Linked DNA regions of Arabidopsis thaliana. The protein of the gene in region 1 interacts with the protein of each later gene in a pairwise test. Each region holds a gene or a part of one and is shown in the gene's direction. Other genes may lie near its edges.

Region 1 (16,716 bases):
TCGCTAAGACTACTCTGGATCATTATCTGTCACGAAATTTAAAATTTGGTTTAATTTTTTATATGCAAAACATATAGTTCTTAAATGTGTAAGTTGAATCTTATTTCGTGCTATACCCAATCAGAGAATTCTTTGTCTCAAGTATAATTATTTCATCAATTCGCAAGAGACAGTCCTTGCTACGTACGAATCTAATTTCATATTATTTTTTTAAAATACAGAAAAAGTTGAACACCAATAAAAGTACGTTGAAAACGTCAATAATTCAACTAGATCCAACTCATAGTTATATAAATTATAATTATGGTCATTATTACTTTATTTTATTTCTTAATTAGTCCCCACTAATTTTACGGCAGCCTCTACTTTTTTTAATCTTTAATGTATTTAGAACTAAATCCCATTTAGCGATCACTACTCAGATCTCAAACTATCAAGTTTTAATTTGTACTAAACCGTTTTTTTTGTAACCTAGTGATTTGTTTTATTTCTAGGTGTCATTTGATTTCAACTAGGAACACTTTTCTGTTTTGGCTAGTTGATCGGTTCTATTATTGTTTGAGTTCTGTGAGTACTAATCTGAACCCACTCTTTGTCTTATAAAGTTATAAATATATAAATATCTATATATATATATATATATATATACATATATAAAGTTGTTTATGATCAACTATTGATTGTGTCTACATATGTAGCCAAAAGGTCGTTCAATGTAAGAAGGGACTCTAAAATTAAAAGACATGACTCCTAAAACATATACAAAAGCCGGTGCTCGTTTATGGATATTCTGGTCGTGCCAGTTATAAGAAACTTAAAATTTATTACCTATATTGTCTATAGATTTGTTATATTTAAGTCAACCTGACTGATAAAAAAATCGTAATATTTGAGATTCAATTAAAGTGGTGATACAGTTACCAAGTGTCAAGTATTATCACAAATGGTTTTGATACACTTCACCAATCTTTAAATTTAATTTAGAAATATATAATTATGTACGCAATACGTTGTAAACGGCATGTACCACATATATCACGTTTCCAAAATCTTTTTTTGTCCTCTTTAGTTATTAAGTTTAGCTCGAAATAAATTTACATTTGTAAACGGCAAATTTTATACAAATAATTGTAGTTTATTATATAAAAATATTGTTTTATTTAATATTTATAAAAGGTAAATAATACTTCTTTTGTTTCTTAATAATTGATTTTTTTTTAAACACATATATTTTAAAAAACATATTAAAAACTAATATTTAATTATTTATCTTGAAGTTTGATATTCATCAATTATAACCAATTAATATTGCATAGAAAATCTAAAAAATTAATATTTTAGAAATAATTTTTTCTATAAAATAAAATAATAATAAAACAGAGGAAATACAATATTTTATTATATTATTTAGTTGTCACAAATGATTTAAAGATGCTACCATTATATGCTACCATTATATATATATATATATATATATATATATATTTAAGATTATAAAACTAATATTTGTAAGTTTTTGTTCAAATTACTTCATACATCTACGAAAAGTGGTGGATCCACGTGAGTTTACAATATAATACATGGTTGAAAAATCTTTAAACATATGAAAAGACAAACAAATTAGCATAACATTAACTTAGAAAAAAATGTTATATGACATAGACAAAATATGCACACAGCGAACCAAAATTTAGAAGAAGAATTATCGTATTTCTATTGATGTTATAAGGAGTCGCCTTCTGCATCTTCTTTTCCTAACATGATACTCTCGTTCCTCGTCTTCTTCACATGTTTATTATCCTATCACTACTTAATACAAACTAATAATTCTTTTTGTATGGCTAATGTAAATGACTAACTAGATTAAATTACCAAATATGTTAAAAAGAAATTACAATATTTCAAAAATTGGGATTAAAAACAAACGTAGTCTTCACGAGATATATTTGGACTACATCCTGAATTTGGAATCTTATTTATGGAGTATCCGTAGAAGCATGGTTAACTATAGCAGAACTATGGGTTCTCTATCTTGGTGTGGCGATGTGGTTGATGGCATCATAATGTGGAAGAGCACACCAAAGTCACTGCTCGTTTTCTTCTGCATCTTGGTTTTCATTTTGCTGCTAGAGATGATGAGTTCGTTCATTCCTGTTATCATCTTCCTCATGGGTGTCATCTCCTACTTCTAGAGTTCAGAATTACCGCCCCGACATGGCTATCTCTCAGACGACTTCTACAACAGATTTCGACCTTAACGAAGAGACCGGCACAATCTAGTCTGGTTCCACACCATGAGAAAGGATTGGCGTGGAAGTGAAGCATGGTCTTAAGCTCCTCTCGAGATTCTCGGAATGTTTGAGCGTACTTGTCTTCTTCATGTATGATTTGTTCAAGTTTGAATCATTCTTGTTAGACACGAGCCGTAGGTACCTTTATCAAGAACAAAAATTATCTTCAATGAAGACTCCGTCAGATCTCCAACAACCTTCCGCTCCATAGTAATAATCTCTTTCTTTAGGTTTTCGTTTCTATTGGTTAGCAAATTTACTTATTATAAATAGGGTAAATGTTGCCTCCCGGGAGAATATGTTAACAAATCTACGTATGAACATTTAGTTATTAAGTAAAAGTAAAATCAAAATTTTAGCTACAAATTGAGAGATTTTGTTTTCCCATTCTCTAACATTTACCGGAAAAATAAAAACAGTTACTAATATTTGAGCTAAACGACCGCCACAAAGGGTGATTCCAACTTATATAAAGAAGGTCTTGTTGATAAACGACTAAGATGTAAACTGATTCGCGTAAGATTAATATCAACGGTCAAAATTTAAAATCTAGTGTTAGAGGTCAACCAACTTTGACTGTGTTAGACAATCCAGCTGGCATTTACTATTAACACTGATAAATAATCTCACACGTGTCAAATTTCCATTCGTTGATTAAACAGAAGACATCTAATCATAAATAGGAGAAAATAAATTGAGGATGAAGCAAACCAATCAATGATTATTAAAACTTGATTGTCCTTGTTGCTAACTGCTGAATAATGATTCTTGGGTTCTACATCAAGAAAATGAAAATTTGTTGGAATTTTACCTTGTTGATTATAAAATTGGATTTTTACGTTTCGAATAAACATCATACTTTACCTAGCAAACACACCCTTATTTCACGAATCCTCAAAACTTAAGATTAAATGCCTCCAATTCCAAAGCATTAAATCGTTGGAAGTTAAGAGACTTAAACACAATATTTTTCGTACATTTAATTTTTTGTTAATGATATAGCTCGTTAAACACCTTGCCTGAATTCCATGATTTATATTATCATTAGTAAATATACAAAAAAAAAAAAAAAGATTCTAAGAAGAACCATTATTCGTTAACTAGATTAATGTCAACATTCCAACACAGCCATCGATGATGATGATGATTCATCAAGAAGAAGAAGAGATGCCCTCAAAACATTCAATCGTCATTAGAAGATCCAAATAAATAAATCAAGACAACTTGCTTGAATTCCATTATTCATATTATCATTAGTACATATGCAAACATGCATGATTTAATTTATGATAACTTATTATCAGTATGCATTATTCATTATTCATAACAATATCAAATTAAGAATTCACAACCACATACAGATGATAAATCATGAAGGAACATAACCAAGTATCTCAAATTCCATGAGAGTAAGTGACAATTGAAGAAATCCGGTTTCCTCAGGACCAGAGAGGTTAACTTCACGGTAAAAATCAACCCCTTTAACCGTTGGCAACAATGTGACTCTTCTCCCAACGAAATAGGTACCAGTTGAATTCGTTTTGAAAACATCTACATATAAAGATTCTACGGGAAAATTCTGATCTTGAAAAAGTTGTAATTCTTCATCAAACTCAGGATCTCCTTCGGTTGCTACAACCTTTGTTTCATGTTTCTCGTTTTCATTTGTCCAAGCTTCAACCTTGTATTGATATGGGCGACCATTGGTGACTCCGATTGTACCAAAGATATTCACAAGTAGCTTCACATCTTCACCTGTGATTATTATCTTTTTCCCTCGCATTTTTCTTCTTTTCAAATAATAAATCTGAGTAGAATAATATGTGTGATTGATATGTCAACTTAACTACACCTCAACAATTGTTTTTGTGGTTTTTTCTCTCACTAATTCACGAAATTCGACATTTTCTAAATATATTTATGTTAAAATGCACGTGTTTCATGTTGTAATTCTTTGTTTATAAACAAGAAAAAATAGATGCTAAACAATGAGAAATAAATGTTGTTTGAATAATAAAAAAAATTGAATGTTTCTTAATACCATTTCAAATACTAAAAACAATGAAATATCATATTTAGAGATTTATTTCTATATAATATCTATTTTGGTCATATTCTTAGTTATGATATTTGACTACTATTCAAAAACCTAACCCCAATATAGTCAAAACTATATAAAAATGCAGTAAGATATTAAATGCTGTTGAACAAAATTCAATATCTTATGGCTTGAAAGTAAACTAGTAAGATAGCTACAAAATGCATGGTAAGAAGTTAGGATAATCATATTTTAAGAAACGAAAATAAAATACCTAATATAAGCTTCGACACATACAGCTCTTTCTTACTGGAAATCTTGCATATTCCGAACATACATTTTTATTTTAGGACGGATATACCTATAGATTCATTTGCAAGATTGATTTCCTATTGAAAAAAAACATGTTGTGGATTCAAATATTTGTCGCTTTTTGTTCATTCTCTTTTGTAATTTCCTAAACGAGAGGTCACTAATCCAAAAATCGTTAGCAATTAACTAGAACATCTTCCATGGTTAACACCACCTATCAATTATTTATTTTCTTCAATGAAACTTTATGAAACTCTTTCCATTTTATTAATTTATATATTAAAGTTTTTGTTCACACTAAATTTATTGACTCAATATATATCTACTTTATAACTAAATACTAATTATTTCATTTACTTTTTATTTTATTAATAATCTACATATATATATATATTGTTTGTCTTGTTTATTGTTTTTGCGGTTTGTATATTTATATCTCATATTCATACAATTTTTTAGTATATATGCTTAATTAATTAAGATCGAATTGTGGCTTGTTTATTATTTTTGCGGTTTATTTATATGCATCTCATATTATTACTTTTTTAAATTAATCGATTAAAATTTATTAACTTACGTAACATATTTGATATTGCATAAATTAAAAATCATATGTATATAATTCTCTTTAGTTTAAATTTTAAAATGAATAAAGAAAAAAACAATAAAATTTGAAAACTGAAAACCTTTTAAAACGAAAAAGAATGGCTAAGATGATGAATCGGTCTCGTACGGGAAACACCTACGTTTTGGTTTAGTCCGGTTTGGTTGAATTCCCAGAGACTTTGCTTGAATTGGGTCCCCAATGCTACGGTTTTACCACTGGAGATTTCCGCCGTCCCTCGCCGTCGTTAGAATGCTCTCATCACCACCCCCTCCTCACTCACACTCTCCATTCTCCGGCGGCGGCGTGAATTCGAACTCAGTCGGTGGAAACTCCAAACCCGAGTTACAATTCCCTCAATCCCAACCCCATAAACTCTCTTCCTCTCCTTCCTCTTCTCTGAAATCCACGGTGGCTTGTTCAAACGCCGGAGCTATACGGAGAAGCATGGCTACTGTTTCTCAGGCATTCTCAGAGAGAACAGAGTCTATTGATTCGGATTTAGGCTCGCTCGTTGTAGTTTCATTCTACAAATTCGCTGATTTTCCTGAGCATGCTGATTTCAGGAAGCCTCTCAAGGATCTCTGCGAAAAATTGGTATGGCGTTTCTTCTATCTCATTCAAAAGTGTAGATTTTTAGTGTCTGTCTACGAAAGGTTAAGTCTTTACTTACGAGTGTTTGTATTGATCATGAAAATTTGGTTTAGATTTTGAGGCACTAATCACTAATGTAGATTGGATTGTCTTGTTTCACCAGCGTGTTTCAGGTGGAATCATTCTTGCACCAGAAGGGATAAATGGAAGTATCTGTGGGATTCGTGAATCAGTGGAGGAAGTGTTGGCATTTATACAGAGAGATGTCCGGTTAAATGGTTTGAGGCAAGTGGAGACACCTGTGAGTCCTGAGCAAGAAGCAATTCACCATGGACATAGTAGTAGCTCTCCTCTTGCAGCTGGTGAAGATGCTCCATTTAGATGGGATCATGTTAGGGTCAAACTTAAGAAAGAGGTACACTTTTTAGTCTTTGAAGTTGAGACTGGAGGAGTTTTGTGGATTGTCAAGAGTTGTTTTCTTTTGCAATGTCTGTGCAGATTGTTACGCTTGGAATTCCTAGTGTCTCGCCAATTGAAAGAGTTGGAACATATGTGAGTCCCGAAGAATGGAACGAACTGATCAGTGATCCAGAAACTGTGAGTCCTCTTTTTACCATCTTGTAGCAAGTTTAGTCAAGAACTCAGTGAAATTTGAATAAAGACTTGATAACTGTTTATACACTTAGGACTCATTTTCTCTGCTCTCTCTTGATTAAATGTTCTGGTAGATAGATCGATGATATCAGATCTTTAAGTACTATTGTGTTTCAGGTAGTGATTGATGTGCGTAATACCTATGAGACTAGAATTGGGAAGTTTAAAGGAGCTGTGGATCCATGTACCACAGCTTTCAGAAATTTCCCATCTTGGGTGGAGAATCAATTTGCATTGAAGCAAGAAGGCAATGAAACGCAAGCAAAGGTGGAGAAAGAGGATTTTTCTGAAATCACCCATAAAGAAGACAAAGCTGAAAAACCGAAGACGCTGCCACGAATTGCTATGTATTGCACTGGAGGAATCAGGTGTGAGAAAGCTTCAAGCCTCCTTCTTAGCCAAGGTTTCGAAGAGGTAACCTAACACAACATCTAACCATTGTTCTGTTGGTTTCAAAGGTACTTAAAAGATCAAAGCATTTTTGTTATCAGGTATATCATCTGAAAGGTGGGATATTAAAGTACCTTGAAGAAGTCCCTAAAACCGAGAGCTTATGGGAAGGGGAATGCTTTGTGTTCGACAAACGTGTATCTGTGGAACATGGTCTAGCTCAAGGAACACATAAACTCTGCTATGGATGCAAGCAACCTATAAGTGATGAAGACATGGAAGCTCCAGAGTACGAGTATGGAGTTTCTTGCCCTTACTGTTACTCCAAGAAATCAGAAGAGGAGAAAGAAAGGGCAAGAGCAAGGCAGACACAGTTTGAGGAATGGGGTGTAATTGGTGGTCCGGACAAAGGTCGTCGACCCGCCACTAAACCTGATAGTCCAAGGAAGAAGATCAATGCAAAGCTTGGTTCTTCAATATAGAATGATGTTGTTTTGTTCTTCTTCTTGAAATCATTTGCATTGTTACATACTTACATTAAAGAGTTTAAACGCTAATCAATGAGGCAATGATCTTGAATTTTTTTAAGCATATCGGAAACAACGACTAGAAACAACGACTAGAAACGGCGCGTTGTTCAAGTGTTAATAAGTAGAACGGCAGGAAGTGTAAAATTGACGTTTGACTAGGTCAAGAAGCTCTTTTAATGTCAAAAATTCCGCAGAATTGATTATCGTCATTTCGTTAAGGATCTCTGTGGGGTTTGATCGAATTTCATAGCGAAGGAGAGAGTGAGAGAGAGATTGAAGCAGTAATGGCAGGAACATCTGGATTGCTCAACGCAGTGAAGCCAAAGATCCAAACGATTGATATTCAGGCCGCCGCTGGATGGGGAATCGCCGCCGCAGCCGGTGCCATCTGGGTCGTCCAAGTAAGCTATCTCGATCTCTTGTTTTCCGGCCATAGATTGGTTTTCACGGATTATGGTCCTGATCTGGGATCTCTATCTCTAGCTAATGTTATGTTTCTGGTGAAATTGTTGGCTTTATCTGGTTGAAAGATGAAAATTTCATAATTGATCACCATTTATCAAATTTACTTGCTTTGATCTCATTAGATTATCTATAAAGGTGGTTACTTTTATGAGCATCGTTGCATATAATTACGTTTCATGAAAGGCTTGATTCGTTTTGGTGCTAGTCTATTCTTGAATTGGTGATCAAATCTTCTTCATTTCGTTTTCCTTGTACTATTGGTTTCACTTACATTCTGATTTAGTCTTCTACAGAAAATGCCTAGCTTCTATTGATCCTTGCTTCACGCCATTAACATCTTAAGGAGGATAGAGTTGCACTTATTTCAGACTGATACATGAGCTTGTTTCTTCATGAATTAGTTTCATCACTTACAGACACAATTTGCTCTTGGTTTGGTGTTATGAAGAGATTAGGCGCCTTAAGCTGCTAGTGACCCTATTTTACTAAGCTTCTTTTCAAACTCATAATGTATTGTATCTGACACATTCTTTATCATCACAGCCATTTGGTTGGATAAAGAAGACATTCATTGACCCACCCCCAACTGAAGAGAAGTGAGATATCACCAAGATTCAAGACTAAGTGAAGAGTTTTCCAGTTTCTAAGTTTGTTACCGCCTCTTTGGCGTGGAGCTGAATAAATTTTGGTTCTTTTCTGGGGCTTTCTGGTTTCATTTCTTCAATGTAGTTGACTGATTTGTCTTCTCAAATGTTATAACAAACAAGAAAAGCACTTACTCCAAGTTACTTGAAAAGAGAACCCATTTTGCATTTATCATGAGTTATTATTTCCATGTCAAAGTATAGAAGACCTAACGCAGTAATGTCTGTTGCAATACAATGAATAAATAAAAGAGCTTATCCTTTGCCTAACCTACATAATGAACGTGGACGACACAAAAGAGAAAGTATTATTTCGAGCAGCTTCTCTCTTCACCATCTTATGTGCATACAACAAGACGCTCCAACAAACATTTGGCTGGAACCAATCTCTCTGCAACCTTTTCCATAGTCATGATGCGTTTGTAGTTGATGAGGATGCATTACTTTCCTTCATTCTCCTCTCGGCTGCTAATGCTGCAGCGACTGAGGGTGGTAGATCTCTCAGATTCTCCTGTCTCTCTCCTGGGTTTTGTTCCATCTCTGCTGTTTCTGCTGTTGGTGAAGCAAATAGAGATTCAAGATCTTTTAGTGTCAAGAACTGTTGATCTTGATTCTTTGTATTCCTGCTGCTAAATGAACTTAAGTTTGTATTCTTATTCCTGTTCAGTTTGTAGATGCTCTCTTCCACTGTGCCCGATACCTGGTTCCCCAAAAAAGAGAGGTCAAGATCAAAGTGAATCACATAAGGCAGGATCTTGAAGCTGTACAAGACCAAGGTGGCAAACAAAGCAGATACACTAACCAGAAACCGATGAACTAGAGTAGGCTTCTCTTGTCCAATTCGGTGAACACGCCCAACAGCTTGCGCTTCCGCAGCTGGATTTAGAAGTGGCTCCACCAGAATAACATGCTGTGCTTCTAGAAGATTAAGACCGTTGGCACCATGCTGCACCAAAAGCAATAACACTTGAATCGATTTTTCCTCTTTTTGATGGGAGTTTGTCTTTTGGGTTTCTTTCTCAGATCCCTTGAATTTGCTAATGGCTGTCTGTGATTTCCTACATTTCCATAAAATAAAAGTTACATGCATCCCTTAGGCTACCTATGTGCCACTTTTAACAGACTCCCCATTAAAATTCTCACTACATTACCTGCCCCCTTTCATCCGGATGCAGGTGATGCTATTTGCAGCGAAGGCATGTTCCAACACATCAAGAACATCGTTCCAGCTGGAGAAAACAAGAACCTTCGTTTGTGGGTCACTTGACTTGATCCATAAGATTCTTCTAGTAACAGCTTCAATCTACCCCCAAAACAATAGATGAGAAAAAGAAGTACTTCTTGTGCACTGATCTTAGAAGCAAGGAGACTAACCTTTGTTCCATATGAACCTTGAACCACCAATGATGCTTCACTGTCTTTGTGATCTTGATCTGACGAAGAACTGTTTCTTCTATCATCAGCATATGCAATATTTCTAACATCTGTATGCTGCCTGCATATTGGACACATCACCCACTTTTGCAGCGTTTCTTGAACTGATTTGCGCTCAGTCATAGCAAAAAAGCCTGTGTGAACAAACACAAAGAAGCAGATATGGGTAACATTCTTTAGGTTCACGAAGAATATAGTAGATTAATGGAACACAAAGAAAATGCTTAAAACTCGAAGCTGAAAAACAAACAATCGAAAGGTCAAAGTAATTACAGTTACAGCAAGTGGAATGCCCGCACTGGAAAACCATCTTCTGATTCCTTAGAATTTCATGACAAATCGGGCATGCTTCATCTCTCTTAAGCAGGTTTTCGCTTTCCTGTTCAGCAGGATCCGAAGCATCGACTGTTTCATGTATTGGTGAGGAAAGATCTGGACTCTCGGATTCTTGTTTCTGTTTGGATTTCATCAAACCCTGCAACGGAAAAAAGATTTGTTCAATATTGGATACAAAATCAAAGAAAGAGAGGGAAAGCAAGCAGATATTTTCCAGCGATCCAAAGTCTCACAAAAAGGAACTTAGCCACAAAGACATAACTATAGCTTCTCGTGACTAAAAAATTGAAATGGGTAGAGCTCTGGAGCTGGAATTGCAAAACAAATGTGATCAAGTGTAACTATCCACGTAAACTTCTTAATAGTAACACAGATATAAATGACTTATAGGCATGATAAAAATAGGAGGTCAGGCTAATAACACACTAAGGTTACAGATTTACCTTCAAATAACGAAGTTTCCCTTTTATACTAAGCAACGAGGATTGAGCCATAAATTTGTCATTTGTGTTCAGCACACTAGCAACATCTAACTCGTCCCGGCCCAAAGCATAGATCGATGTGTCATCTTCCGATTCTCTAAGCTGTAGTCTCATTGTTGACATGTTAATCTCATCATAGGCACGTAGGAGTTGAGCTTGATCCCTAGCTAAGACCCTTGCATGTACATATTCCTTTCGCATCACCTTAATTAGATAAGCAAAATTGGAAATGTCAGATCTTGTTACAAAAATGAAGGAATAGTTTTCCCTTTCTCAATGTAAGCAAAGAAGGGATCTCTCAGGCAATACCTCAAGGGTATGCAAATGTTTTGTAGCTGCCAATTTGCTTTCCCTATCTAAATGAGTTTTGCAATGGTTTCTTATCACTCCAAGAACTATTTCCGTCTCAGATGGAGATTTTGAAAGCTATGATAAGAACATAAAAGAAATATTTATCAGACTGCGACGATCATTACAAAATCATATTATTTGACATTTCAAAAGATTTTAAACAAAAGAGGAAATAGAGAACGCCGTATCAATAAAGTTAATAAACAGAGATGTGGTTAGGATTTATTCTCAGTAATGAATTCAAAGACTTCTTGAAGTAATACCAAATCCAAACTAGATCAAGTAACTTACAACCACAATGTCACCAGCATTTCTTTTGGTTGGCTCCTCGTCATCACCACGTGATGCATTTAGATCCTTGCTTCTTGATGATAAACCAAATAAAAAAAGATTACGAGCATCTCTCTTCTTCTGCAAATGTACCGTCTCTTCAGCAGCCGCAATTTCCATTACTCCCCTGCGAGATTTGTTAAGACGGAAAAGCCTAGCCTCATATTCCTGGAATGATTTTTTGATACATGATGATGTGACAGCTAATATTAATATCGATTTAAGTTCATATAAGTGCAGAAGCAAAAAAGAGCAAACCTGGAATAGTTCATCTAGCTCGCAATGAATACACGGGGGGCCATCACTATTCTTATTGCAATACTTGCAGTTGCTAATACGCTCAATATCCTCCAACTTTGGTTTCTCCATAGTCTGATCAATTTCTAGAATCCTATCTATCACTTTCTTTCTAGATCTCTCCAGCATATCCATACACGTCTGCAGATGAAGTTTCATGCCATGTATAGTTCTAAATCTGGAATAAGGAATTTGCAAGTTAGTTCATAACGTACTCAAGTTATGTGCTCCTAGAATACTGTCTGCTTACAAATCAGGAAACATCTGAGATTAGATTGAATATAATGATCTATTGCTAAGACTTTCACTACATATGATACTGAAATTATAGGGTAATCAATCTAGTCTTTTAATGAAGCTAACCAGTCTCTTAGGTCACTTCTTCTAATAACTTTGCGGACACATGTAGAAAATATGCCCCATATCACAGACAAATTTGTGACTAAAAGCTGAGAAAGTACTCTGGCAAAAACAAAGCTCACAAAACTGCAAATTTTTAAGCACTAACCGAGAACTCTCTCTGGAGGAGCTTGAATTGTTTAAGTTTCCATGGAGGGCCTCTTCAATCTTCCTTGTCAACTCGCTAGAGAAGTCTTTATTCTGTTCAGTAAGTTGCAGGGCATCCAACCACCAAACTGAACGTTGTTTCCCCATATTGCTCAACGACTCAGAAACCTTGAAAGTTTTTCAACCATTTAGCATTGTGTCACAGAGAGCGAGCTCCAGGAAAATAAGTGATGCTCAATATTTAACATGCCTGATCTTGAAACTTAATTTAAACGGATTATATTTACACTTAGGCTAAGGGTACAAGTAGCTTTTTGAGATTAAAGAAAAAAAGATATAAATATTTTTGTGGAAAATACCTGATTGTATGATTTTTTGAATTCGTGCTGTGCTGCAGAAAGCTTTGAGTTGAATGCGGATAAATACTTAACCTTCAGTGTGTCACAAACTATATCCAGAGTTTTGCATTCTTCATGACACTCTCCATCCTTCTTTAAACCATTGTCTGGAGCAATAGCTTCCCGCTGATGTACAGTTTCTGAAGAATCATGAGTTAAACTCTCGAGCTCATTGATCCTTTGCCTCTTCGATGCACGATGATGATCATCATCTTTTACATCTATTTTTGTTTCAGGCCTTCCTGATGCAGAAAGTTTTCCACCGTAGCTTTTGGCCATTGGTAGTATCTCAGCTAAATTGTGAAGAATGTGAATATTTAACAATGGATCAAGACGAAAATCCTCGGCGTGTTCTTCAGTTATACTTAATGCTTCCTTGTATAAGGACACAGCTTCAGAAAATTCTTGCTTAAGCATGGCAATAGCAGCAATCCCATTTAATGCAACAATTAACACTCTAAGAGCTTCTTCTCCCTCGCTCTGGGTCTTTTTCACAAGGACCTAAGAAAAACTTCAATTAGCACAAATAAGTAACGAAGATTAAAACGCTAAATCTTGCAAAATCACCATTAAAATTTCTTCCATGGTCATTGGACTTTGTTGCAAAGAGCGTAAACCTGAACTTCCTACTTGAGGGTGGCAGCAAGCTTGGCGCAATTTCAAGAGCGAGTTCAACAGTTTTGCAGCTTCAGCATGAGTGACTAAAGGATTATCAGAAGAAGTATGACCTGTAGATTATCACAAGTTGGATAGAAACTTAAGCAGCCAGTACAGAAGGAAGTGTCAAACTTCTGAGAGTGAACTTTTGGAGGCAATAAAAGACAAAAGTGGAAAGTGCTGAAGACACTATGTGCACCCCATGGTACCTCTTTTGAGAATATCACGTTTCAAAGTTTCTATAACTTCACGAGCATAACTCACACAAGTGTCATGCTGTCTACTGTAAAAGTGTTCTTCAATTGCGGAAAATTTAAGCCACGAGACGCATTCCTCTTGAGGTGGAAGTTGCAACTCATCAGCCACATGGACTTTTGAAGAACGCCACATAACTTGTTTGAAAAACTTATGCGTAAATTCCATGGCCTTTGTGTCTCGCCTCTGAACAAATCAAGAAGGTTGTTAGACAAGAAAACTATAAAAGGTAAGAAATGTTTTTTTTTTTCCTGCTCGACCTCATATGGGTCTCTTATAACTTCAATCCACCATCTTGAAACATCGAAAGGATTTGCTTTAAGAAACTTCAATAGTCCAAATAAGTCATCAAGTTTGCGTTGTATAGGAGTTCCGGTGATACACCAACGGTGTTTGGTGTATAATCTCAACGCCATCTCTGTTGCAGCAGCTGCATTGCTCTCCACCATCTGGGCCTCATCCAAACAAATCCTCCACCAAAATATTCTGGTGAGTGGAGTCGGAATAACAGGGTACCTATCACAATATGAAATCTTTACTCAATCTCTCCGAAAAGCTATTCAATTGCAGGAAACCAGGAGATAAAAAAAAATCCTGTCAGATTAAATTTGCTGTTGTTCAATATGGCTCGTCTGAGTACATGAGTATGGAACTAATCTATATTGGCAAATTCTTAGAAATATTTTAATAATTCATCTTCTTCAATATATCAGGTATGACAAAAGTTCATCATGTAATGAAAAATGCGAGGTATAAGAATCCTAAATATAATTAATCACACCTTTTCTGGAATCTAAGACAGTGCCGGTCACCATCATGCCTGTCGAAGTCATGTGTCAAGTCCTCTTTAAGGACATCATACGTAGTTAAAACAATGTCCGCATTGAGAAGTTCAGTAATGTCAATCATAGGTTCTTCAGAAAGTGAGGCGTTCCTCACACCTTCATAGATACATGTTATGAGAGATCCCAAGCGTGTATGGCTACAACATGACAGATGAAAGAAGGAAAGAGGACTCACATTACATGATGTGGAGATACACAAAAAATTACGTCTAGTGAAAGCCATCTTGTTAAGTGTTCCTCTAGTCAAAACATAACAGAAGGGAGAGAAGAATCTCATACCGTGTAATCTCGGAATGCCATTGCGGTAATATAGGAGCTGGACAGACAATAAGAGTGGCACCCGTAGAGATGGGAGAGGCAGTGACTTGTAGAAGTTCAGAGCACATTTGGCAAATATATTCACCTTCTCTGACAATAATTTCCGTTGCATCCTTTTTGCTCTTCTTTTGAGATGCTTTTTCATCAATATGTTGACTATCCTTCTTACCTTTCCCTTTAGGTGAATAACCTACACAGTCGGCATGCTGCCAAGCATCACAAAGGTCACACTGTACCCAAACTCCTTTGTATTTGTGACTTTCACTGACAGCTCCACATATGCACTCAACACGTTCTCTTTTCAATCTTCTCAAGCCAGCGTTCAAAACATCAGTAACTGATGAACCATTAGACACAGAAATTTCATCCTCCGCTGGTTTTCGATGAGAAAAGATACAAGCAAGTAGTTCCACCGTTTTTCCCAATCCCATTTCATCTGCAGCATTCGTACTTTACCACATTAAGAACGAAACGCATGAGAAATATTAGAGGTAGACAAAGCCATATACACCATCTAGCATTTAAGACGACTTAAAACATATATTTCTGAAAATATTCTTTGTGAAAGCAAGTCAAAACAAAATTATCCTTGTAAATAATTTTCTGATTATATAGTACATGGAGGCAAAATGAAGCCGCAAATTGTTCATACCAGCAAGGATACCGCCCTGAATTCGAGGTGAAAAATACTCTGGTGTCAATGAGATATTCCCACTAAAAACAACCAAAACATGACAAATTGACCAGAACAAATTAGTTCTTCTGTAAATGGCGGAACTTCACTGAGCAGAACATACACTATTTGTTGACGATGAGAGGAGCTTATAGTTCAAAATAAAATTAAAAAGGACTACTTAGATTCTTTTCTACTAACCTGAATGGGTTCAAGAACATTTTTGTAGCAGAGTCAAGGAATCCCACGGAGATAGACAAAGGTGAAATGAATTGGTTGTCTTCCTTGTCTCCCAACGTTATTGGATCGCCTCTCTCTCGCTGAACCATCCAATAAGCTGCCCGTCGTTGGTACGGCCTAAGTTCTGGGAGCAAATCAGCTATGTCATCTCCAAGCATTGCATCCGTCCTGAATCGATATTGTGCTAATAAGTTGGAAAGATAAAATCAGATATTAAGGCACATAAAGAGAGAAAAAAAGTTGTTCACTCACTTTGATGGCTTTATGGCTTCATAAAAAGCAGCAGCATCAAAACTAGACTGCTTACTAGAGTCCAAAGTTTCATCTTCCGTCACAACTGATGACTCAATATCCTTGACGTTGAATCTTGTCCCATACCTAGCCTCTGATGTCATTACCTCTGGCCTCAACCAAGACATGACATGAATCATACTCTTTTTCCAAATCTGCCTTGTATTCTCAAGAAGAGAATCACATGCATCAAAAGCCTGCTGAAGCATCTCAACTCTAACTCTAGGAGACAACAATCCCTCATTACCAGGCATGAGCCTTAAAGTCAAAAACTTTATACTTGCCAAATGAGCAAGACCCGAAACCCCTTCACCTGGACCATCAAAACTTGCAGACCAAATCACTGACCCAACCTCATCATCAGACACCTTATTATCAACCAATTCCAAAGTTATATCACTCGAAGACAAAACCGGCCAGTGACCAAGCTTAATCCGATCAACAAAATTAGTCACATTGCAAAGCCGAAACCGTAACGAGCAATCCAGATCATGATCAACCTCAATAGGTTTTGTGAATGTACTACTACTTCCTACACGTTCTCTTACACTAAAATTCGTTAGAACAACTTCAGCTAAATCAAAGTTCTGCTGCTGCTCCGAAACTCGACTACTTAAACATATGTTCACATAATACGGCTTATCGATATCTTCAACATTCTTGTCCCCTGAACCCTCAGCTTCGTCGCCGGGTAATTGATTTCTATCGGATTCAGAACCAGTTGGAGTGATCAAACCCACTGCACGCTGGGGCTTGGATTGCTTTCTCCTACCCATCACT
Region 2 (17,236 bases), on another chromosome or scaffold:
AAGATTTGCTTGAAAATCGTTGAAGTTTTAGATAGAGATGGGTGATTGCCTTGTTGGATCATTTAGTATGCATAAAAGATTTGAAATTAGCATAGCAAGCCCATCTTAGGTATTGTCATGCAAGGCTGAGAGTTCAAAGAGAAAATGACAGAGACCTACCTACACGTCAAAATCAGATGCAAACTGCCATTTTCCTGATTAAGTCTATCTTTGTTTTTTTTACTTTTCAAAGAATTAATTGCCATAATTTCTGAAGAAGGAAGCAAAAATCCCAAAACAGAGAACCAAGAGAAAGGAGAAAAATTGAAAAGTTTATGGTATTACTTGCAAGCAAAAGATCAAGTTATCTTGCAAACAACAACTATAAGATTAAAAGCTCTTTTTCTTCTCTTATCAGAGAATTGAAAGAAGAACACACAAAACACATAATATAGTCTCTTTGCGAAAAAATGAATGAAACGAATATAAACAAAAATTTTAACAAATAGTATAGCAGAACTGAAAAACTCTAGATTCTGAACTTTCTCCACCAAACTTATTACAAGACCTGTTTCTGTTCTTTCCAAGAAACTAACAATACCACCAAGATGATTGTATCCAATTGAATTCAAATAAATTTCTTTTATAACCAAAATTAATAAGAAAAAAAAGACTGCAACTTTCGACATCTCCAACGGCAGGAGAATCATAAAAATCATCTGAAAGTTATTGTTGAAACCCTTTTATCAGCAACCCATCACCGCGCAATTGTAAACAAAATTCGATGAATGTTTCCTACCGAGCAATGTCCATAGAGGCGGACTTCGATCACTAGATGGTATCCATGAATTCAGTTCAATGTACCCTCCACCTGAACTCCTAGGACCACCAATCACAATCAACCTCTCACCGCAAGCTCTAAACGCTAATCCCCAACCGTTAACCGAGTCAGCTCTTTCGGGCAATCTCCCTAAAGTAAACCATTTCTTACTCTCCTTATCATACTTCCTCACTTCCATATCAGCATGATCAGCAGCATACAATTCGTTATTCACAACCGCAACAAGAGGCGGCGCCTCTGCTGCTGCCGGCATTTCCCGGCTCCTTGGAGGCGACATTTCCGGTATCTCAGTCCATTTCTTCGTCTCTAAATCAAACTCCTCACCACAAGTAAGCACTTTCGAATCATTTCCACCAATTCCTCCAATCACATAGAACTTCCCATCCATGAAAACACCTGAACACATCTTCCTTGGTTTATTCATCTTCGGAAGTGTAGTCCAAGTCTGAAGCTCGGAGTTATACATCTCAGCGGAATCACTGATTTTGCCAAAAGAATCAAAACCACCAGCAAAGATCGCAATCTCTCCTAGACTCGCTGAGCCAAACAAACACCTCGGAGAATTCATCCTCATACCGGAAGACCAAGAGTTAGTCAAAAGACTATATCTATATATAACATGAGAAGAGTAATCATCTTTGCCTAACACAAGCAAATCCGTACCAACAGCTAAAGATTCTTTATCGGCACACATGAATGTAACACCTGAAGGCATTGTAGGCAAATTCATCCATCTTCTTTCAAAAGGATTGAAAGCAACCCATTCCAAAAGCTGACAAGAGAAGTAAACCCAATGTTCAACAATCTGGTTTTGCCTCCTGAGTCTATAAATCTCTCCGGTCTTCACCAAAGACCGAAAACTCCGGTTTAAAGAAGCAATCGAACCGTAACCAGACCTCGAGCAACGAATCAAACAGCTTATAGAATTGTCTCTGCCAATATCATTGATAAGTGAATCGCCATCGCTATTACCATTGTTGTTAGAATCAGATTGGTCTTGTTCTTGTTCATCTTCTTCAATGGCTTCATTCCCATGAATTGAAAATCCCATCAATCTGGGAGACTTGCTCTGTCTGAGCTCATCAACATCATTCTCCAATGCTCTTTTGCCATTGATGAGATTAGATTCAGAGGAATCTTCTGGTTGTGGATACATGTATGGCCACTTTGATTCTGAAAGACGAGAACTTGAGAAAATCCTTGACATCAAATATGTCCGATCTTCCACCATCTTCTCCGTACAGATTCCGATGTTAGAGAAATCAGATCGAGACGAGACCAAACACGAAATGCAAAATGGCTAAAAGAGAGAGAGAGATTCTGAGAAATCAAAAGACGATTAGATGATCCAAATCTCGATTGATAAAAATGGATTCAGAAGGAAAAACAAAAATTTGTCTCTTTATTGAAACATCAATCGCCAAAACAAATTTGGTAGCTTCAAAAGTCAGATCTTTAGATTCCAAATTTGACTCGGAAAACAAAAAAAGAAAACCCAGAAAAACGAATCACTGATCTGAATATGATTCCTTTAGCGGAGAAGAAGAAGGAGAGAACAATGGAGAATCTTTAACAAGGAAGAGATTATATAATAATAATAATAATAATAATAAGAAGAAGAAAGTACTTACGGATTTGGATTAACGAAAGAGAAAGAACAAAAAAAAAGAAGATTAAGAATATTTATTCAATTGTGGTCTGTTGGAAACTCTCTGCGAATCGGAAGTGAAGCGTAATGAGTTTCCTCAGGTCTGAAAGTTAAACTCTTTGGATGTCGAATTCAACTTCTCTCTCTCTCTTTCCTCTGTTTTATTCTTCTTCTTTTTTTTACTTGGGTTAAAGCTTTTGGAAACTTAATTAATTTAGTAATAATGGTTTCTCTTTCTACATGACGTCCGTAGTCCAAATTATTCAGATAAGATTTTCATAAAAGGAAATATTTTAGATTAAAAAATCAAGAAATTCAAAACTGTTTCTAGTTTTGTTTTGTTTTCTAGTGTTTTGAAGTTAATTAAATGTTCTAAAGTTTCAGTACTTTACTTGTTTATTTTTTTCCTCTGGTCAAAGGATGTTAAATTGCTTTGTAGTAAAACTCTATGTACGTCATAGTTTTTATTTCTTTGTTTTTCTACAAATGTACGTCACCAAAAAAAAACAACTTTACGTTTTAAAAGATAGATTTCTGTATGTAACTATTGACAATTTTTGAAGGTAAAGTTGATTTTTGTGAAGCACAGGCTAATTTCCGTGTTCAATATTTTTTTTGATTAATATACAATTTATCTGACCAATTACACGTTATAAAATCCTATATTCCACAAAGAAAAATATTAATATTATCTCTATTGAATTATTTTAGTTGTTTGCTAATACGAAAAAAAAGAACATATAAACGATTTTAACTAGACTACTAAAACTTTTTTTTTTCTTTTTTGACTAGTAAAACTTGAACACTACAATAATTATCTTAGACGAGATATATGAATTTTGGTTTGAAATTGTATCGATGGAATATAATTAGTGGGACAAATAAAGGACGACCTAGACGCATTTCCACGAAATATTATTTAGGAATATATAGTAGTACTTTTTCATTGGAATATAATTATACTTTTTCTGTTCTTCGAACATAACATTTCAGTTAAAAACTGTACTGGAAAGAAGAGGATGTATGTTTATCTGAATAAGCTGAACAGATAAATTAGGAAAACGAGAAAGCTGTCGACAAAGTGATCTAGAGGTTCACGGAGCACGTGTTGACGCACGTGGGAGTATATCTTTGCACATTAAATCATGAAATTAGTGTATTAATACCATTGTTATTACTAGTAGTTTATTACCGAGATTAATGCATTACTTATTTGTTGTCCGTTGACCAGAACTGATATGGTGGGTGGGCTCTTTTATCTCATCGGAAAAAATATTATTCGTCCGTTCTCTTGGACGTGTTGGTTTATCATAATTTTTATTCATCTACAAGTGTTTTATCGTTTAGCTGATGGCCTTTTTCAAAGCATGAGATAAATCTAAATGTAACAAATACTAAAAGATTAGTAAGACACTTATTATTATTATGGATAAAGGTCTTGATCGTACCATATGTTATCTTTACATATTTCACGCATTGATTAGAATTTTGATAAATCATCGAAGCTTAAGTCGCGCCGAAAGATTTTAGCGTGCAACTAAAGGATTATTATATTGCGAGTTGCATCTTGGCAGCTGTAATCCACTCATTAATTGCCACGTGTGAAGGCCATCTTTAAACATTATTTGGACGGTAGAAAAGAGCTTTATCAGTCGTTAGAATTTGTGAGTAATCTAATCAAATCATTTGCATATCTATCTTTCTAAACTGTGTTTTTTCTCTTATTTTGTTATATCTATCTTTTTATTTAGTTTTTGCTTTATCTTCTTAAGGCGAGATGTATGGTATCGTTAACAGTTAACACGGTATTTTGACTATTATCCAAGCTCGTGAAACCTTTTCATAAGTAATTCAAGGTGCAATGAAAATGAAAAAAAAAAAAAAATCGTTGAAGTTGACATCGTATAGAAGAGGTCTAAGATCCATATTTTATGTACTACTTTATAAATAAATTACAAATTTAATCTTTGAGACATTGTGGTGTTAATAATAACCATTTTGTATTTACTGAATTTCGATAATGTTTGTGACGTATTGTTCTATCAAAGTTTCCAAGTTTGATAAGATTTTTGGAGTCAAAGGTCAATAACTATGAATTTAAAATTCCGTTACCTTTCAACGATATTTATCTAATACTATCTCAGCAGAAATGCAGTTACCCTTAATTAATAAAAATATATATATATTCTACAGAGCTGTTTGTATTTTCATATGGTAAAGTTTCATTATCTTTTCGTTTTCAATGAATATTGGTTTTGACTTTTGACCACAAAAACAAAATGAATATTGGTTGGAGAAAGGTTAAATATAAATTTATTTATTTTTGCTTTCGAATTTTCTTCTAAAATTATCGAATAGGTGACTGTTTTTTTTTGGCGTATCTTATTAGTGACTTGTGTCTGAAAGTGAAGTCCTAAGAGCTGTCCACGTGATCTGTTTGTATTGTGTGTTCACATTCCTTTTCTTTCCACATTAATCTCTCTTATATTAAGTGTCTTAATTGATGACTACATTCCTAATTTATATATGTGAAAGTGTTATTAAGAATCTGAGTATTGTGTTACATAAGAATGGGTATAAGATTGCTAAAGAGAATCCCCAAAATTTTGTTTGTATTTATTTTCGAGTAGTTGATATACCTTCTCATGTGAGTTACATTACTTTACGAGCCATTATCCGACGCGTGAAAGCCCAGGCTACATCTGTATTCACAACTGAGGAAAAAGACAAAATTGCCAACAAAAGTATTAGGTTGAAAATTGATCATTACAAGTTGCAAGTTGCAGCACATTACAATATTTTCTTCTCATTACAAAAAATATCGAAAAAGATTTTTTGTGTGTGTATTTGAATAGCTGTTATACCAGCTAATTGTTTTGAATTATCCGTCGTAAGGAGATAACGTGGTGGCTCCTAATACCTTTACTTCTTCTTTTCTTCTCTTTTGGCAATGCCTTGTCATTCAAGTCAACGTCGAATTTCAACACGTGCTCTTCGTAAACTCAAGATTACATAGATTTGAATGTAACTAACTTATCACATCTTATATCTAGTCTTCTAAATTTTGCTGTCTATGGATAATATAACATAATATATGGTATATAAACAACACATTATGATAAATATCTTAAATACATTCACTTTAATGGGATCGTATGAAAACATTTTGTGTTTCTTTTGGTCATAATTGCAAGTTGAAGTATTGGTTAATGCTGACCATCAGGCAAATACGAAGAGTAAACAATACATGATTAACATCTAAGAATTGTTTGTTCTGGTTTCGGCCGTTTTAGTTTTCGGTGGATATGGAAAAATGTGTAGAACAAAAAGGTTCAGAACTCCAGAATTCTACCACACAAAAGAAATTGTTTCAGGTTTGACGCTTATAATTTATGATTTGTGGAACAATGACAAAGATTATCATCGACTAATCTTAGAAGACACTTATTAAGAATCACATATGAAAAAAGCTTACTAGATACAAATAATATAATAACAATAAACAAACTCTATTAACAATAGAGGAAAATTGGGAGATATCAACTTGGAATGTGATATTTGAATCGACTAATCGAGTCAATTAAAGACAAAGAAAATTATGATTTAAGAAAAACAGGTGAGTTTGATAAAACACGTTGTAGTCTTGTTGTAGATCTCCGAATTGACGTCAACTCAATATCAAAATCTTTCACTATGAAATTCAAAATCCGAATCAAAACGTCTAACCTAGCTATAGAATATATACATTAGTCAATGGTCAACCTTTTATATTTTATTGTTATAATCATATATGGTGAAGATAATTGTATTTGGAGGACCAATATTCAACTATTTCCTGTAATTTAGAACATTTATTTTTTTCTTAAATATATGTTTTTTGCTTATATATAGTCGCAATTTTTAGAAGTTCCATAATCCATATACTTGAACTTCTAAAGCTATAGTCGCAAGCACCTTATTGTTGTTGTTTAATAAAAGTTCTAATTTTGGTAGACAAGTGAAAAAACAAAATTAAACTATCTGGTGTTTACATATATGAAAAATATACATTTCCAGCAGTGAATTTTGGTTTTGCATGAAAAATACATAAATAGCAATTCACTGCAGCAGGGGTCAGAATATAGAAACATGAACCACACACATAAAAAAAAAGTAGATTCTGACTAGATCAATCTGAATTAAAAACTAGTAAATTTTGACAGACGGACGTGGCCGTGGAAAGAAGTAGAAAGAGACAATGAGAGATGGAGAAAGAGAGACGTAAGTATTGATTTGGCCAACGGCTCATATGCAAAGAATATTAATAATAATAATGTTCTTTGCGTTTTTTTACCAATTACATCAAACATTTGTTAGGCACACGTCTTTTCTTTTTCTCCTTTTTAGTTAAGGGCATCTCCATCCATGAAAAACCCACAAAGTTTCTCAAACAAAAAAAAATTAATATTATATTATAATTTGATTTTTTGATTAAAAAAATATTTTTATTAAAAAGTTGAATCAATAATTAAAAGGGAATTATCATGATGGATTGTAGAGAATATCTCAGAGTTTCTCAAGTAAGAAACTTTCTACTCTCTCTCCTTCATTTTTATTATTTTTATTTTTTAATTGTGAGAAACTCTTATAAAAAACCCCCAATGAAAATGGTCTAACTTTCTTTTCCGTTGAATTTCTCTCATGTATTAACAGTAACATAAGTATTTATATCACATACACTTGTCAAATTTGTCTCTTTAGAGATTTTAAAAAGTTATCACTTAGAGAACTTTTACCTGTTTGGACTTTGGACGGTTAGACAGATAATATCTAAAATTACTCCAATTTTTATATATACATGCAATACTAAGGTATAAAAAAGGTTCTAGAATGTTAAAATCGTTGCTGAAAAAAAACAAAATCGTCTATAGATTGTTAATTTTTGCTTCTTGTACAAACACTTAGTAATGATTAATGATTTAATTTTAATATGTAAAGACTGATTTTTAAAATAAAAAATAGCATAAGATGAAAATTTATGTTTCAAAAAATATTTGTGATTATGGGTTGTTTGAGACTGGAAAATAATCAAACAACATTGGGCCTTTCATGTAGAATTTTTTATTACATTTAGAACCGTTAACGATATGGGCTAACTCAAGACATTAAAGGCCCAACATTGAGTTACTAAACGGCGCAGTTTTTAGCTTTTTAAAATTGCGTCTTTTTCGTTCACTGAAAAGGTAGTCCTTCTCTTTCCCACTCACATCATCAACTTCATCAATTCATCACCTTTGTCTCTCTTTCAAGCTTCTCTGTGTGTGATCTCCGTTGGTCAACAACAACTACAACAGGTAACTTCTATTCTTCGATTCCTTAAATTTCTTCTCTAGAGCTTAGTGAATCAACGATTTAGGTCTGAACATATTTGGCAATCTGTCCTTGCTCAAATTTCGCTTGAAAATTTCAATCCCAAATCATGTAAAGCTAAATCGGAAAGTTCTATGTAGTTCCCAAAGTTGAATCACGAACTGGAAGTAATTTAATTTATTGACTTAGGATATGTTGAAATTTTTAGGTTTTTTGTTTTGTTTTTAGCTTATTGAGCAGAGATGGATCATCAATTTGGATATGGTGTTGAAGTTACTGGGTTATCTCCATCTGTTACTCATAATGATCTTATCGATTTCTTCTCTTTCTCTGGTACTATCCAAGATATTGATATTGTCAGGTGAGTCTTTTTACTTTTTAGCAAGTTTGTTGTTTGTTTGCTTATTCTGGATTCAAAAGAGTACACTTTGTAATGTTGTTAATGAGACTAGGTCGGGTGAGCAAGCTTGTACTGCTTATGTGATGTTTAAGGATTCTTATTCTCAAGAAACTGCTGTTTTACTCACTGTAAGTGTTAGTTTGGATTTGATTCACTCTTTCTATCTTTTTTGGATGTCTCTTGAGAAATCACTCACTTCTTTGATATCTTCAGGGCGCAACGATATTGGATCAGCGTGTTTGTATAACTCGTTGGGGACAACATCACGAAGAGTTCGATTTCTGGAATGCGACTTCGCGAGGTTTTGAAGATGAATCGGACTCACAAGTATGTATCGCTTTTGACACTTCTCTCAACTTTGATCTTTCTGTCTTCTTTTTTTGTTAAAATAGTTAAATCTAACGGTCACTGGTTCAGTAGTCTTTATGTTGAAGTTTGATGCTTGGTCTCAATTCTAAAGCTTATTCGTTCTTCAATCATGTAGCATTATGCTCAACGAAGCGAGTTCAACGCTGGAGAAGCAGTGACAAAAGCTCAAGAAGTGGTGAAAATAATGCTTGCCACAGGATTCGTGCTAGGCAAAGACGCTTTAAGCAAAGCTAAAGCCTTTGATGAATCCCACGGCGTATCAGCTGCAGCGGTGGCTAGAGTATCTCAACTAGAACAGAGGATTGGTCTTACTGACAAAATCTTTACCGGACTTGAAGCTGTTAGAATGACTGACCAAAGGTATCATGTTTCAGATACAGCTAAATCAGCTGTCTTTGCCACAGGAAGAACCGCGGCAGCAGCTGCAACTAGTGTTGTCAATAGCAGTTACTTCTCCAGCGGAGCTCTTTGGCTGTCTGGTGCATTAGAGAGAGCTGCTAAAGCCGCATCTGATCTCGGTACCCGCGGCTCAAGGCAGTGAATAGACCAATGGCCCGATTCAGAACCGTATTCGTCTGTGAATATATATGATGCAAAGCTGATCATGAATAACTGGCTCATGAAGTGTGATAAGACCAAATTTTATCAAAACGAATACCATATAGAAATCTATCAAAGTATACTCTCACATGATGATGCTGATATAGAGTTTGGTTACATTACCTACATCTTAACTCTTCATTAGTAGCATAATCTTTTTTCTTATATAATTTCTGATTTATATCATTCTATGGTTGATATTGATTCAATATTTGGATAGATGTTGTATCCATAGAGCTTAGGCCACGTGGCACAATTTGCGCCAAAAAATCAAATCCAAAAAACAGAGAAGTCATCATCTTTTCACTCCAAATCTTCCAGTCACTCAAATCATTCTCTCATGGCAGCTTCTTCCTCAATTCCGCCGTCAACCGCCGTAACCTCCGTCGTTCGCAAATCTCTCCTCCTCTCAACCACCTTCTCCTTCCCCGCTTCTTCATTGTCTCCCTCCACGAAACTACCACAAAGACACATTCAAAGATTGCTCCTAGCTTCCTCCTCCGCATCCGCATCCACCGTTCCTTCCGATTCCAAACCGGCGAAGAAAGAAACAGTCTACTTCGACGGCGGAGCTCATTACGGAGATCTATTAGCCAATCTCATTCTAGGTCTAACCATCCTTTGGCTCCCACTAACCTTAGCTGCAGTGTCTCGAGCTTTTAACCTTCGTTACAGGTTCACTAACCTCCGCGTGACGGTTATTTCGGGACTCACCGGAGATGATCGGAGCGATTTCTCGTACAAAGTGATAAAAGACGTTCAAGTTGTGCCGAGGTTCATCGGAGAATGGGGAGATATCATCATTACTTTGAAAGATGGAACTAAAGTGGATTTGAGAAGTGTCCCTAAGTTCAGAGAGATTGCTAAGTACTGTTTATCTATGGCTGATCAACCTGCTGTTTTGAAAGAATCTGGTGCTAAAGGCTTTTGATTATTTCTCATTTCTGGGCAAAATTGATTCTTCTTGTTGTGATTTCTTCAGTACAAATCGAATCCTTTCCATGTTCTTTCATTTGTTATTGATTTCTTCATCTCTGTATTGTTAAGACGATCGTATCTAAACGGCGCGCGATTTTAGCTCTACAATAAGAAACGGCGTGATGTTTGGTTAATGTTGAAACGGCAGGTAGTCCTCTTTTAGATTAGAGAAATGGCATGGATATTAATACTATCTTCTTCTTTTTTATTCATATGGCTGCATTTTAAGAATATAGAGGATTAACAGCCCAAAGTTTGGATTAAAAAAAAAACAGCCCAAAGTTATTTATTAATTATTCAAGTTCAAAATAGCGTCAATTATCTTTAATTTATATACACGTTTATTTATTTCTACTTTTCTAATAACCAAGATTCATCATAAGCAAATTAATCTCTAAAAAGTAAAAACTATCAAGTTTATACAAATGGGCAAACGAAAATGTATAATTTGAATAATGTGCCCACATTAATTTCTATACTCGCATATGAAAATATGATTACGTTTTTTATGGGATAACGGATTCAAATACAAGAAATGGGATTACATATTCAATAGCTTCCTTTGTTAGTACTTTAATTCTAGTAGTTCAAAGACTAATTAATAAGAACTACATATGGTCCTATCTGTTAAATTTGACCATATTAATCTAATAATCTCCATTGGATTCCACTAAAATTTGTTAAAAAAATATTAGTAGAGAATTTCGTAAGAGAAGGTTGATGAGTATGTATAGGGAGTCTTATTAAAGCTTCTGCCTCTGACACATTCTCATCAAATCTTATGTAGTCTTCCCCATTTCCCAATTTTGACCATATTATTCTTGTTTTTATTCTTTGTTTATCATACCCCGTTGTCTTCTTTCATTGTTTATCCTATACGTTTTCTAATCACATATAGGGTGTGATATGGTGAAAGCAAAAAGATGTGGGAGTAAAATAAAAATAGATTTTGGCGTAATTATTTCTGTCCATTTTCTCTAATTGTTTTGTAGCGGAAAAAATTATAAAGTTTTCGACACTTTCAGCTCAAACCTTTTTTTTTCCTTTTTCTGTGAATCATAGGCGAATCTAGAGTAATATTTTATTTTACTCTAACAAATATAACCAATAACACCCATAGTTTTTATATCTCCACTCCAATGATGCACTATTTTTAGAGAAACATCCGAAATATGAATACATTATCTCCAAAATATAGTGTTAGAAGTTGGTTTCGCAATGTGAGTTCATAGAAGTTGCATATAAAGCATAAATATACACCGTAAAGATAGATGGCTCACTATCCACCAGCAACTTTCAATTAAAAAGGAACATTTTGCAGAATTCATATTTCTCTCTTTGTTCCCAAGCTTTATGTCACATTGTTTCACATGCATGGGCAGAATGGGCTGATTGGCACATATGTGCACTTACATGTCCGTGCGCTGTGCGCATCTGTAAAAGTTCATGTCTACATGGTAAACAAGTACGCGTATTGAATACGTACACATACATACCTCTAAAATGGCGTATTCACGAGAAATCCAAAATACAATATGGGATCAATATCCAATATCAGCTGAATTCTTCGGATAACTTAGAATCTATATATAAAGCAAAAACCTTATAATATACTATTAACTTTATCTCAAAAAGGAAAGTGGTTAATTCTGAATTTGGTCAGTCTTTTTAATTTTAAAATAAATAGAAAAAGGGCGGCGCATAGTAGAAGTTTTGTCAAATGTCAGGCTAACACGCATCCTTAAATTGTGCAAGAATGTCTTTCTTACACCCTCCCATTGTTTCCTCATATAACAGATAAACTGAAAAATTCTGCTGGTAGATCATTTTGAATAATTTCAGAAGGATAATCCATATATATGCTAACTTTAACAAAACAGTATATATATAAAGCAATGAAAAGAAATTAGAGTGATCATATCTAAAAGATAAGAAACCTTAGTATAAAGCCAAACTAAAAATAGAAAGGTTAGTGTATATAATATATACAAGGAAAATCTGATGATCAAGGGCACCTTAATCGAATGATAACGGAGGACTAACTAAAATTAAAATGGACATCGGATTCCTGAGACTATATAAGAGCTTTTCGTTGTAGCCTTGTAGGTATAGGAGGAAGTATTTTAAAAGAAGAAGTAAAGCTGGCTCCAATATGAGTGAGGCCCCATGCGATTGTAGGAATCCCAAGCAAGTTAACCTCTACTAAACGTTTATATTTTAAATGCCGGAAAAAATAAAAAATAGTAGTGCGTGTTTTCTGGATTAATTTGAGGTGTGTGTATATTTTGATCCAATTTTTTTTCTAAAAACTAACCTTTTTGTTGTTGTCTATATTACTCTATATGTTTCGGAACTGTCAATATACTGTATTTAAGATATAAAATGTTCGTTAAAATTCAGATATTATGGAGCCTTCATTTTGGAAAATATCATATTTATCGTCTTCCCCTCTCCTCCTCTGCCTTGACTAGAAGAAGTCTAGAACCCAAGAGGTATGGGAGCTGAGCCCTTAAACCAAATGAATCGACTTTTGTTATATAAAATGAGTCCATACTATACGATGTGGCGAATAAAAGATAAAAGGCAACTTAGTGATGATACGAGAGCCGCATGAAACCGAAATCCACGGGCACGGCCTAATTGTACTATAGTATATAAAAGTGTACATATCTATATAAAATATTTTTTTTTTGTTAGAATAGGATGATGGTCAAAAGATATACATTGCATTATAAAATATGATCTAAATTTTGTTCTCTACTATAATTTTAAGTAAGAGTCTTAGAAATTTTAAGTATCTTTTCTACTGTTATTTTAAGTAAAAGTCTAGAAATTTTAAGTATATATGTTTTCTACGTGACAAAATTAATTGACTTAAAATGGTTTAATCCTCTAAAGTTATCATGCATTGAGTGAGTTCGAATTCCTATATAAGTAGAGATGAAATGGTACATGACCATTAGACTAAAGAAACAGGAAGATATAACATTAACGCATAACCATACGTACGTAACTACTACTACCGTACTACGTACGATCTATAGTAACGTGTGTATATAATAATAATTAATACCAATACAATTGTTCTGAAGAATCGTTAAACGGAATCGAATAATCACGTAGTATCCGATCTACGTAGATATAACTCTCTCTCTTTTTTGTTTAATTGTATTTCAATAACATAGAAAATCACTTACTCTTTTCTTTTCAGAAAATCTCAGTTTTCTTCGAAGTCGCTAATTTTTGTTTTGGTTTAACATGTAGACGTAGTGGGCAGCGACGTAGGGAGAGAGAAGAAAGACACGTGGAGGTGAGTGGTATGATTTGGAGACCGCTCCTACTTGGGCATGATGTGATCAGAAAAAGAGCCCCACGAACGTTTTCATCTCATTAAAACTATAATCAATCTCTCTGGGAACTTGGGCCATTCCCTCCAACAACTAACACCATCGACACATACTTTTTGCTGAGTTATTTTGTTTATATATTAATTATGATTATCAATGTATTAATCTTTTGATTATGTTTGTCAAGATATTTTTTTTTGTGTGCAAAGTTTGTCAAAATATTTGAGTCACCACTTTTATTGTGGATCTTCACAAGTTCGCATACTATCCCACTTATCATTAAAACTAACGGAAACTTTTGTAGTAATAGATTATCAAAACATAATATATATGTAGTTTTAAGTATTTCATTCCGATGATTAATTTTAGTTAAGTAGAAGTCCATAAAACAATGAGGATTCACTGTTGGAAAAATAAAAAGAGGATTCACCACTGCTCAATTCTTTTTCTTTAGATGCATGCTAAGTAGACCATACATTGTAGTGTTGCTTTCATGATGAGGATAAGGTTTAATCTCTTTAGAACACAAAGTAAGAAAAAATATATGCCATATTATGCATATGTATTAGTTAATTAAATTAAATTAAATTTACTGTGTTTATGACGAATAATATGACAATATTGTCACGGACTTGGTCAAAAATATTTGCTGCAAAGTCCACATAGGGTTGGCCATAGCCTTGGAAAAAATAGAATATTTTCAATCACTCTTTCTATTTGGACCCTTTGCATATTTCATTAATATGTTTTCAGTCTTTTTTTTTTTTGTCAATAAAATATATTTTCAGTCTTATTTCTCCTAAATTGACGTCGATATAAACTCAACATAATATGGAAATCAATATTGTGTATAGAGTATTTATGCAAATTTATACAATCCGAGAGCTAGTGGAGATAACAGGTGCTTCAAAAGCATTAGGTATTGATCCAATGGGATTGTAGATGTGATGGAAGATGTATGTTCACTCTCAATCACAGTAGATCCAAAAAAAGCCACACAAAATGGCATAAAGAGTCGAGAACGACCCATGTGGTGGAGGGAATACTTTTCTTTCTCCCCTTTTAAAAAACTATCTTGAACATATTTACGAAAACCAAACCTTAACAGATATTTAATGTATACATAATATTTACATGAGTATTATCTCAAATTACTTAAGACATGATTTGCTAATCTCGACTTATACGACGATCTGCTCATCTCGACTTTCTTAAAATGATTGTTTTCCCAATAGAAAAGTTAAAAGGGGGAAAACGTTTCCATTCAATTAAATGATTGATATTCAGTTAATCATTTAACAGCAAAATCAACATCCAATTACACGTTCATGTATCCATTTAAAAAGGATTAAAAGAAGAAGAAGAAGAAGAAGAAGATAAAGTAGTAAAAGAAAATTTAAAAGGCATCGAATATTATAAAGACCTAAGACTTCGTTGGATTAATTTTAAAAGAAAATTAAAAAGTGAATGAGTTTGTAGTAGTAGTGTAAAATGTGAACTAAAAGGAAGGCTTTTGTTGAACAAAAAAAAAGAAAAAAGGAAGGCTTTTACCTAGGGTTCCATTATTTATCATAGACTTTAGTCCTTTTTTGGTTTCTTGTAACTCTATCGGTGTCTGCTTGTGGGCCTTCTCATACCACCGACCCTTTTGCTCCATAACATATATACACACACCTTTGTTTATTTAGTAATTTGTGAGAATGACTAGTTTTTGTTATTTGTCCCCAAAAAAAAAAAAAAAACTAGTTTTTGTTGTTATACGATGTTCAAATATTTGTACACATTGGAAACATAATAAGTCAATTCAAATTACGCAAGCTACCACCTTATGGTAATATCTATAAGAATGTAATAACTAAGTAGGTTTCCACATTATATTGGTTTTTAAGATTACCTCAAAAATCTATTATCTTTTGTTTCAAAATATTTATCGATTTTAGGCATCGAATCTAGTTACATACACCTCTATTATTTGAAAATGAATGAACTGATGATGATTGAAGTGTTGAGAAATGTGGGTGATGTCATGTACAGTAAGTCAATAATATTGTAGTGGAGAGAACAGAATGAAGCAGTGAATCACTGATTCTTCCCCGCCAAAACATCCGAATCTAATAGTATTAACAGTTCAAAACATCGTTTTCTAACCTGATACTAGCTTAATTATATTGCATTTAGAGTTTTGTTTGGTTTACTAAAATTGAACCCATTGATTTTTCCTTGACATGCACTTGTCAGCAATGCTATGTGCTTTTTATTTGGACATATATGTGTCTCAGTCTCACTGTCTCCATGTGTATACATCATTCAGTTACAAATCGATAATCATATTTTATAACTGATACATCTACCTATTTATTGCGCGTACTTACGACGGTTCCGTTGAGACTTGAGATAGTTACGTTAATTCACGTATCGATCGTTTTCATTCAAAATATTGTTAATGTATTCTACATACCTTGATATGCACTAGTACGTACATTCAGAAAAATCGAGTCCGGTGATCGAAGAATCATACAACACGTACGTACGATCGTACGCAAACATGTTAATGAGCAAATATATATAGTTATTATTGTTATCAAATACTAATAAATATACATAACTTTGATACTTGGTACTTGGTAGTACTATTATTTAGAGATATTATATTTAATAATAAAAATAATAAACTGGGCTGGACCAAGATTGACCTCACTGTTTATCTTTTTCTTTTTTGATAACTTGTTTTAATATATGTCTTTTCGAAAGAAACTTGAGTGAAATCGAAAAAATAAAATACAAAACAAAACAAAAAGAAATAATCTTGATATATATGCTACCGAAATTTTCGAAATGAAGTTAACATATAAACATAAAACTATAACGTTAAGTTTAATCGCATTGATCGCATTACTAAGTTGAATCCTTATATTTATTATACTCATGCAGAACAAAAAAAATCACGTGTGATAATTTTGGTATAGTTATGATCCAATTAGAAACTTTTTTGTTTCAGAAAGAAATTCACATCAATCTTAAAAGAGAACTCCCACTTAATAACAAAAGAGAAGATTCATGAAATTGGGTAGAAGCTTTAGGAAATGTTCCTTTGTTTGGACACTTATTATAAGTTATGTCAATATTATATGTTATTGACACTTCATTAGAGTAAAATACAAACTAGAAACTGAGAAGAGAATTAAACTTGGGCCTAAAACTATATAGTCTAGAAAATAAATTAAAAGCAAATATAATTACACAAAAGGATGTAGACAAAAGACAATTAAGTAACAGTAAAATAATACTACAATTTTCTTACATCCACTGCTCATAAAATGTGATATGTCAGAAGTGCTTCGCTGTCTAAATTTCAAATCCAAGGCACCACGCGCTAATGTACCGCTTGTATCTCATGTTCCAATTAAAATTCGACAATTCATAATTCATCAACTATTCATTCTTGTTTTTGTTGTCAAAACTGAATTTTCTCCAAATAAAATCAAACTTTGAAATTTCTCTCTTGGATATTTATAAATACATGATCATTCTGACTAATAAAAAGAAAATCACTAATCCGGCTTAATTTTTCAAAAGTTAATTATTCTCTCGAAAGAGTAGATAAATTTGAGAGAAATTAATGACTTCAAGGATAATTACTTTAGTTATTTATTTGTTTGTTTATTCCATTTGTACACACACACACTAAAGACTAGAGGGTAGCAAGTAGTTACCAAAATTAATTG

The links.
Region 2: the proteins of AT2G40765 (region 1) and AT1G14340 interact in a two-hybrid assay, tested with the Arabidopsis thaliana proteins (one large-scale study listed by BioGRID).

Annotation. Positions count from the first base shown.
Region 1 is NC_003071.7:17,004,604-17,021,319, forward strand, and holds AT2G40765 (uncharacterized protein), read left to right. Parts: upstream 1-7,572; 5' UTR 7,573-7,697; coding exon 7,698-7,814; exon of another isoform or gene 7,815-8,421; coding exon 8,422-8,478; 3' UTR 8,479-8,722; downstream 8,723-16,716. Other genes in the region: AT2G40745 (uncharacterized protein), read right to left, coding at 3,661-4,074; AT2G40760 (Rhodanese/Cell cycle control phosphatase superfamily protein), read left to right, coding at 5,447-5,842, 6,003-6,254, 6,338-6,436, 6,611-6,907, 6,985-7,365; AT2G40770 (RING-finger, DEAD-like helicase, PHD and SNF2 domain-containing protein), read right to left, coding at 8,932-9,222, 9,325-9,580, 9,674-9,825, 9,897-10,090, 10,230-10,431, 10,736-10,978, 11,084-11,200, 11,417-11,623 and 11 more. UniProt on the Arabidopsis thaliana protein: Component of the ubiquinol-cytochrome c oxidoreductase, a multisubunit transmembrane complex that is part of the mitochondrial electron transport chain which drives oxidative phosphorylation.
Region 2 is NC_003070.9:4,889,650-4,906,885, forward strand, and holds AT1G14340 (RNA-binding (RRM/RBD/RNP motifs) family protein), read left to right. Parts: upstream 1-7,696; 5' UTR 7,697-7,801; intron 7,802-8,045; 5' UTR 8,046-8,059; coding exon 8,060-8,178; intron 8,179-8,269; coding exon 8,270-8,345; intron 8,346-8,430; coding exon 8,431-8,544; intron 8,545-8,701; coding exon 8,702-9,127; 3' UTR 9,128-9,386; downstream 9,387-17,236. Other genes in the region: AT1G14330 (Galactose oxidase/kelch repeat superfamily protein), read right to left, coding at 726-2,051; AT1G14345 (NAD(P)-linked oxidoreductase superfamily protein), read left to right, coding at 9,527-10,117.